Linked DNA regions of Cricetulus griseus. The protein of the gene in region 1 purifies or fractionates together with the protein of each later gene. This does not show direct contact. Links are inferred from orthologs where the notes say so. Each region holds a gene or a part of one and is shown on either strand. Other genes may lie near its edges. The genes, in order: Pld2 and Dnajc7.

The links.
Region 2: the proteins of Pld2 (region 1) and Dnajc7 purify together in Homo sapiens (affinity purification with mass spectrometry; 3 studies listed by BioGRID and IntAct, counting the BioPlex papers as one, with this or other methods). This does not show direct contact. The link is inferred for Cricetulus griseus from reciprocal best matches to the Homo sapiens genes PLD2 and DNAJC7.

What each region holds. Positions count from the first base shown.
Region 1 is NC_048600.1:84,350,715-84,355,184, forward strand, and holds the start of Pld2 (phospholipase D2), read left to right. Parts: upstream 1-1,659; 5' UTR 1,660-1,852; intron 1,853-2,048; 5' UTR 2,049-2,049; coding exon 2,050-2,158; intron 2,159-2,248; coding exon 2,249-2,379; intron 2,380-2,392; exon of another isoform or gene 2,393-2,490; coding exon 2,491-2,633; exon of another isoform or gene 2,634-2,655; intron 2,656-2,901; exon of another isoform or gene 2,902-3,014; coding exon 3,015-3,120; intron 3,121-3,207; coding exon 3,208-3,273; intron 3,274-3,616; coding exon 3,617-3,675; intron 3,676-3,728; exon of another isoform or gene 3,729-3,790; coding exon 3,791-3,883; exon of another isoform or gene 3,884-3,908; intron 3,909-3,972; coding exon 3,973-4,125; intron 4,126-4,470.
Region 2 is NC_048600.1:113,667,656-113,672,137, reverse strand, and holds the start of Dnajc7 (dnaJ homolog subfamily C member 7), read left to right. Parts: upstream 1-1,516; 5' UTR 1,517-1,597; coding exon 1,598-1,674; intron 1,675-4,482. UniProt on the Homo sapiens protein: Acts as a co-chaperone regulating the molecular chaperones HSP70 and HSP90 in folding of steroid receptors, such as the glucocorticoid receptor and the progesterone receptor.

The DNA.
Region 1 (4,470 bases):
TTTTTAATGCCAACAACTCGGGAGTCTGAGGTGGGCAACTCTGTGAATCTGAGGCCAGCATGGTCGAGGACAGTCAGAGATACACAGAGAAACACTGTCTCAACAATAACAACAACAAAACAAAAACAACAAACAAACAGCCGGGCGTTGGTAGCACATGCCTTTAATCCCAGCACTCGGGAGGCAGAGGCAGGCGGATCTCTGTGAATTCGAGGCCAGCCTGGTCTCCAGAGTGCCAGGATAGGCTCCAAAGCTACACAGAGAAACCCTGTCTCAAACAAACAAACAAACAAACAAAAGAACAACAAACAAAAAGAAACCTGTCTTAAAAAAAAGAAAAAGAATGTAAAATAGAAGAGCCATTTTGAAAGGGGTTTTTATTTTCAACTTTTTCTTTGCTTTTATTTTGTGTATATGCATGTTTTGTGTGTGCAGCGTCTATGGAGGCAAGAAGAGGGCATTAGATCCCCTAAAACTGGAGTTACATCTATTTGTGAGCAGCCATATGGATGCTGGGAATCGAACTTAGGTCCTCAGCCAGTACCCTTAAGCACAGAACCATCTCTCCAGATCCTTTTTTGGGGGTGGGGGGTGGGGGTGCTTTTCTGTGAAGCTTCAGCAGGCCTCCACTCCCAAGCTTTACAGTCCTCTTGCCACATTCTCTTTGCTGCTGGGCTACAAACTGTCAAGCCCAAGCCCAGGTCTTGACAGTCTTCTATAAGTTAAACATACACTTATATGATCCAGTAATTCCACTCTAGTTATTTACCGAAGAGAAATGACTGGTACATAAATGTTTATGGGAGCTTTATTTCCCGAGGACGAAAACTAAAACAACTCAAATGTTTATCAGTGGAAATGTAGAAGAAAACAAAGAAGGAAGAGAGGGAGGGAGGGAGGGAATGAAAGAAGGAAGGGAAGACAGACTGATGACCTTTAGGATCTGAAAAAAAAAAAATGTTGTTTTAGACTGGAACTTACAAGTCAGCATGTTCTGGGCTGCTACCGTACCTCAATGTCTGGCTAATCTCTACTGAGCAATAAACGTTTAGTGAAAGAAGAATGAGACTTTTCATACTGCAACGAACTTGTAGTCACCATCCTTCTGGCTTTTTAATCTCTTCTTACCTCCCATCAACAAATGCTATCTGTACAGGGCTCAGCAAGGGGACACCAGCAGGTCCTCTCTCGCCACCGAGGCCAGTTCCGCCCAGATTCCAGGCAGCGCTGGAGACCAGACAACCCAAGGCCCGCGCGCGCGCAGTAGAGGAACGTGAGCAGGGTGGATCACACACTCGGGGATGCTGGACTTCCCAGCTCGGCACCCCCGAGGGCATCCAGCGGGAGAGGACGGCCCTGGGGAGGGGGCGGCCCCGGGAGTGGGCGGCCCCGGGAGTGGGCGGGCCGGGCTGGGCCGGGCCGGGGCGTCTATATCGCTGCGCCCGTAGAAGGCGGCGGGGGCGGGACGCGGCTGATGCGCCACCCGCGGAGGTGAGGCCCTGAGCCCCGGTCCCGCCCCGACCCTCTGGGGTGTGGGCTCCTCTCTGAGTTCTGCTCCCGGTGCTTGCGAACCCGCGCGGGTGCGGGCGCCCGCAGCCAGGGTGAGGGGCCGGGGACGTGGCGCGGCTGAGATCGGCGACGGGGTCCAGCTGGAGCTGCTCCGGCCTTCTGACTCAACCGCACACTCAGATTTCGGGATTTCTCTGCTGGGCGGGGAACGCGTCGTAACTTCCTCATTCCCGCCGGGACCCTCGCTTCCAGCCCGTCTGGCCTGACTTTGAGCCCAGCTGTCACCGGGATTCCTCCCTTGGACTTACCTCGCCCCAGTTCGAGGCTATCCCAGCTTGGCTAGGTGCTTCTTGGACCCTGAATACGGAATGAGAGGCAGGGCTGGGGGTTGCAGAGATGGGAGGCTAGAGGGGCGTCGGTCTGCAACTGTAGAAGTTGGGAGTCAGCTGAATGAGATGGGTGAGGGCCGGGGGCGTTAGGATAGGGAAGGGTGTTTCTGTATGGGCGAGTCCCTTCCTGAGGCTTCCTCATATTCCTAGGATGACTGCAACCCAGGAGAACCTCTTTCCCTATGGGGACTACCTGGACTCCAGCCAGTTGCACATGGAGCCAGATGAAGTTGACACTCTGAGGGAAGGAGAGGATCCAGGTACACAAGGAGATGGCCCCCACAGAGGGGAGGATAGGGATCTGGGTCTCCTGAGATCTACACCCTTGGGCTTTTTTTTTTCCCTCCCAGCTGATCGAATGCACCCCTTTCTGGCCATCTACGACCTTCAGCCCCTGAAAGTGCACCCCTTGGTGTTTGCCCCTGGTGTCCCGGTTACAGCCCAGGTGGTGGGCACTGAAAGATACACCAGTGGATCCAAGGTGGTTGGGCTGGTACCATGGAGGGTGGGAGAGGGAGGCCTGGCCAAAGTGGAGGGTTGGGTTGGGCCGGAAGACTCTGAAGACATGATTTTCAGATTTTTATACCCCCAGGTGGGAACCTGTACTCTATATTCTGTCCGCCTGACTCATGGTGACTTTACCTGGACAACCAAGAAGAAATTCCGACACTTTCAGGAGCTGCATCGGGACCTCCAGAGACACAAAGTCTTGATGAGTCTGCTCCCTTTGGCTCGGTGAGTGGGACTAGAGTGCTTCCTGTAAAAGGCAGACAGATAGTCCTCACCCCATGGCAGTCTTTACTCCTGTCTGCCTATCTCACCCCCAACCTACTGTAACCTTTTCTTCACAGCCATTTTCCTTCCCCCAGCTCTGTGCTGGACCCTGGTTCCCAAGAAACTTCCTCTGGTTCTCTTTGTCCATGGTACTATGCCAACATTTCAGCCAGGCTGGATGCCCAAAATGTCCTTGGCAACACCCCACCCCACTTGTCTCCACTCCCAGGATAGAGACCCTTTCTTCTGCCAGCCTTTCTCCCACTCCAAGGCCCTGTCTCCAGTGTTTCAGGCATCTAGCTTGCCAGCTCTTCCCTGAGCCTTCTCTTACCTCCTGTATAGCTTTGCTGTGGCCAGTTCTCCAGCCCGAGAGGCAGCCAATGAGGACATTCCCTCCCTACCCCGAGGAGGTTCTGAGGGCTCCACCAGACACACAGCCAGCAAGCAGGTATGACCTAACACCAGGTCCTGTAGCAAGGTGTTGTAGTATGCACAAGGCTCTGGCTACATCTGTTTCTTTCCCACCCCCATTCAGAAATACCTGGAAAATTACCTCAACCGCCTCCTGACTATGTCTTTCTATCGAAATTACCATGCCATGGTAAGGTCCAGTGTCTAGATGCCTGGGTGTATCTCTCTCTCTCTCTCTCTCTCTCTCTCTCTCTCTCTCTCTCTCTCTCTCTCTGTCCCTGTCTCTCTCTCTCTCCAGGGTCTTACTGTGTAACCCTGACTGGCCTGGAACTAACTACTGTAGACCAGGCTGGATTTGAATGGACAGAGATCTATCTGCCTCTGCCTCCCCAAGTGCTGGGAGTAAAAGCCTGTGCCATCATGTCCTAGGATGCCTGGGGTTTTTTAATTAGATGACGACAAAGGGGCAGAATAAGTAAGGCTAAGGGGCTAAAAAGCCAAGTCTCCTCCTGAGCTTATTTCTTCCTCTGCAGACAGAATTTCTAGAAGTCAGTCAACTTTCCTTTATCCCAGACCTCGGCTCCAAAGGACTGTGAGTGTGGGAATCCCCCGCCTAGCCTTCTGCAGACATCAGTCCCCATCTACCTGCTTGAAAAACATGTAGTATGAGTGCGTAGAGTCCCCAACTCTCCCGATTGTCCCTGTAGGGAAGGGGTGATCAGGAAGCGCTCAGGCGGGCATCGAGTTCCTGGCTTCACCTGCTGTGGCCGAGACCAAGTTTGTTATCGATGGTCCAAGAGGTGAGGGCTGGAATTGAGCAGGGGTCTGTGGGCAGGTGAAGAGGGAACTCTGGAGGACCTTGACAGTATACACAGCCCTTCCCCTCCAGATGGCTGGTGGTGAAGGACTCCTTCCTGTTGTACATGCGCCTGGAGACTGGCACCATCTCATTTGTTCAGCTTTTCGACCCTGGCTTTGAGGTGCAGGTGGGGAAAAGGAGCACAGAGGCTCGGTATGGGGTGAGGATCGACACCTCCCACAGGTAAGGCCTCCCTGGTGTGAGAGCCTTCTGTGACCTGAGGGGAGTTGAGCTGGAGACACCATGGGGGAGAGGAAAGCTTCTCAGTCCTCCATGTCCTGGTCCAGCCAGAGCTTTGAATCAGGGAACTAGTCTATCCATATATTTAGGATACTCCTAGAGTAAGGGCCTATAGTGCAGGGGTTTGGAGGCTAGAGAGAGAAGAGTGGATAGTGGTCTTGCAGAGGCCCCGAGTTCCGTTCCTTGCACCCACATTGGGTGGCTTATGCCCACCCATAACTGGAGCTTATGCCCACTGGTAACTCCAGCTCTAGTGAGGCTGATACCCTCTTCTGAATTCGGTGGGCA
Region 2 (4,482 bases), about 29 Mb from region 1:
GGGTTGGTGGCTAAGAGCACTAGCTGCTGTTCCAGAAGACACTGTTCATAGCATCTGTGTCGAGCTGCTCACAACTACCTGTTAACTCCAGTTCCAGGGAATCTGAAACCCTCTTCTGGCCTCTGCAGACACCTGCACATACCTGGTATGCACTCACAAAGATACATGCACACACACACACACACACACACACACACACACACACACACACACACACTTTTTTTTTTTAAATGTCTAGGCAACAGGAAGAATTGAAAGTTGGGATGAAGTTAAAGCTGGGAGAGTAGATAAGTTCAGCTACAAACGATAGTTAGAAAAAAGTTTTAAAAAAATTGGTCTGTGAATTAGACTGTGTACTGTGAGGTGAGCCACTGGCAAGCAGTGTGGGTGGTGAGGTTTTTGCCATCCCACCCCCAACCAACAGTGCAAGTAAAGGCTGAATGACCTCTCTCAGTCCACTGAGCTCCAGCTCTCATTTTCTAGCCAGTGGACCCTATGGTTTCAATTCCCTCACTAATGAATAAGTAAGGATCTACAAAACAGGGTAGGGGCCTTCATACAGTTTTCCTTAATGGGCATAGACACCTAAAATTCCACTGTCTTATTTTCATTCTTTTTGTCTTAAAATCACAACCTCTAGGTCATCTCCTCTGCCTCATTTAACCTCAGAGCCCCCCCCCCCAATTTAATTCAACTCCACACATACTGTTGGGTGTAGTAGTGGTTCTACAAAAAAAATGATTAGCCTGTCTTCCCAATCCAGGCCGCATTTGGCCAGACAAAGTGTGCTGGGTAGAGTTTATGAGACGCAGGAGTACAGGGGACACTAAGGAAAGGGGACCTCACCCCATGAGCTGCCTTATAAACTCCAAGGCAGGGGCTGGGGCGCCATGTCATCCTCTCTAGACTTAACGCTGAGATGGCACTCCCAAGCGGTTGACATGAAAGCGGCCTCATAAAAGGGTCCGCGTCATTGGGATGATGAACCAGCAGGCGCTTGGAGACCCGTGGAGGATGAAAGGCGCAGGGTGAAGACGCCCTGCGTTCCCCTCGCTTGGCTGGGCAGGGCTTCCAGCCGCCGATGAAAGCTGGGGCACTGGGCTCAAAGCGGCTCTTTATGCCTTTGCGGGGAGGACGCGGTGGACACACTCCAGGGTCGGCAGGTAGCCGTACAGGCCTTCCTCACCGCAGCCGTCTCGGGTGACCCACCTCCACCCACCCACCTACCCACCCGGGGCTCGGCGGCTTCACCGGAGGAGACTCTCTAGGTTTGCAAGTTGTTATGGCAACCAGGCTGTCGGGATACTGAGGCAAGCCGAGGCCTAGAGAGGCAACACCCTTCTGTACCGGCCTCCTATCCGCGAGTAAAGTGGCGCCCCCTACGCACAGGAGCCGTCCCTGGGCCCCCGCCCCAGGGCGGAGACCACCGTGGACCTCCCGGGATGGGAGGCCGCTCTGGCCCCAAGCGGAGCCTCTCGTTGGTAGACGGGCTCGAGGTAGTCCCTCTGGGCGCGGCGCTGCTGAGCGGCTCGATGCTCCGGCCGGAAGTGCTCTTCACCGCCTGCCTCCCACCCGGCTCTCTGGTCCCGGCGGTAAGATGGCGGCTACCGCGGAGTGCGATGTGGTAATGGCGGGGACCGAGCCTGAACTGCTAGAGGACGAAGAAGCAAAGAGGTAACCGGGTGGTAGGATAACGGGGGAGGCGGGCTTGGGGTTTGTGAATCCGGGGAGGCCGACGCGGCAGCCGCCGAATGTGGAGACGATACCCAGCCTTCTGCAGATTGCCTCCCCCCCTCCCCTCCCCGATCTGAGCCGGAGTCGACATAGGCCCCCCCTGAAGGGACGTTCTCAGGGGTCGCCTTTCCCCCTGTGCTGCTTCCGCCTCGCGGGGTGCTGAGGCACGGCCTAGTTCTGCCGTCGGGAAGAAGGTCGTCCTCATTGTGGAGGCCGGGGTGGAACCTCCGAGGTCGGCTGCAGGGTGGGGGAGGCGTCGCGGCATCGATGACGACTTCCTTAACATAGCCCCAGCCTCCGCCTGCTCCGCTGGTGAACTTGTGCGTATTGTTGTCTGTCCTCCTTTCCCTCAGTAATTACACCCAGTGGTCATTAGTGTGGGGCCGAGGAGATTGTGTGCCTCCAGGTATTGACCTGGTCGCCCCCTCCCCCCCCATTGACGTAGAAATTAAAATCGGATAGGCAGAAGGACGAATGAGGGCCTCGTCTCAGACTGTACGGGTCAGACGCTGCTTCACCTCTCGTCCCAAGGCGATCCTAAGCTCAGGGAGGACAGCTGTTTAGATGCAGTTGGCACTGCTGGGCAGCTGCAGTAGCGCGAGATGATTGCCAGTCTGGACTAGCCTAGGGAGCTGCTGAGTGAGTGGTTTTCAAGAACACTGTGAATTCTGGCACCAGCTAAGGACAGGTTTTTGAAGCGAGGTTGGAACACAGTTAAGAGCAGGCGTACTTGCTCTGATACCAAAGGTGAACTGATTGCCTTATCAGTTGCAGATTCATTCCATCTGTTGTTCAGAATGGACTTCAGTGCCCTCTGTCTTCTAACCATGTGCTTCGTATGTTCGTACTAAGCCTGTGGGGGTATGTTTTCAGTCTGAATAATTTGAGATGATGAGAGAATCTGATCAGGAGATCTACCAACCAGGATTCTGAGGTGTTTGCTGTCGAAGTTAGAAATACAAAAGGGTACTCGGGGAGCTGCAGGGAATATTGCAGTTATCAAGTGTGTGGGTTGGAAGCTGAGAGGCTTGACAAAGCGCAGTTGATCCCTGAGATATCCGTCTAGTCTCCTTCGTTTTGAGTTTCCACATCATTCCAGTGGTTTGGAGTTAAGCACCATCGGCTCATACCTTTCTTAAGGAATTGCAAAATGAGAAGGGAAGCCCTTTGCTAACACAAGCAGCTTAAGCTTATTTTACCTGGATTTAGGAAGAATTTGGTGCTTCTCACTGTTGTAAATAGGGACTTTGGCCATATGTCATTCAAGGAATATATTGTACTTGGTGTAAATCTATAGGGAGTGTCCCTCATTCGGACTTTAGACAGGGGTCTGTGCGGACCAGCCAGCCTTGAACTCACAGAGATCGATCTATCTGCCCCTGCCACCCAAGTGCTGGGATCGAAGGTGTGCACCATCATGCCTGGCTAGATTGCACTTCTCTAAAGCAAATTCTCTCCTTAAAGTGAAACAAAACAGCTTTAGAAAGTGTTTTGTCATGAAATGGTAGTAAATGAATACGGAGAGACCTATCAAGAAATTTGAAGGCTGACTGGGGTGGCACACATCTGTAATCCCTGCACTTAGGGGACTGAGGCAGAAAGAACTAGAACTTGTCATTCTGGATTTTAAAGTAAGAGTCTGTCTCAAAACAAAACAAGCCAGACTGGTGGTGCTCACTTTAATCCAGCACTTGGGAGGCAGAGGCGAGCGGGCTGTTTGTAAGATCAAAGGAAGCCTGGTCTACACAACTACAGGCTAGCCAGGGCTACATGTTAAGATTCTTTTGTGGATGTGTGTTGGGTGGGTGGGTGGGTGGTACAACATCATGTGAACCATGGTGTTTGGTTAACTGCCTTTTTTGTGGAATTTAGTTTGTCATTGATTGTAAAACAGTTATCTACCACTGTAGCAGGCTTTCTTTTAGGCTACTAACCAGCTCCCAAATCATGACATGGAGACTTATTATTAATTATGAATGCTCGGCTTATCTTATGCTTGTCCCACTAGCTCTTGTAACTTAATTTGACCTGTTTCTCTTCATCTACACTTTGCCTCAGGGCTTTTAACCTTTCTTCTGTGTGTCCTGCTATTCCATGTTTGGTTAACTGGTGGCTGGCTGGCTGGCTGGCCCTAGGCATCTTCCTCTCTTTCTCCCTCGTTCTCTCTCCAACCTACTCATTCTCTGCCTGCCAGCCCTGTCTATCCCTCTTCTGCACGACTATTGGCCATTCAGCTTTTTATTAGACCAGTTAGGTACCTTAGGCAGGCAAGGTAAAACAGCAACACATCTTACATAACTAAAGTAATATTCCACAACATACCACCAAGTCAACTTAATTGTAAAATAAAAGTGAAAAATGTGTTTTTCTTTAAAGATTTATTTTATTGTGTATAGTGTTCTGCCTGCATGTATGCCTGCAGGCCAGAAGAGGGCACCAGATTCCATTACAGATGGTTGTGAGCCACGTGTGGTTGCTGGGAATTTGAACCCAGTACCTTTGGAAGAGCAGACAGTGCTCTTTACCTCTTGACCATCTCTCCAGCCCGAAAGATGTTTCCTTAAACAGACATGTTATATATATTTATGGAGTTCAAATTTTAAGCCTGCTGAAACTGATTATTCAGTTTTATATGTTCCTTATATACCAGTTGTGTATATAAACCAAAAAGGAAATGACTTAAATCACTTTGACCTCCACTGTGTAAGGCATCATCAGAAGAATAAGCGTTAGGTGAGCATAGTGGTG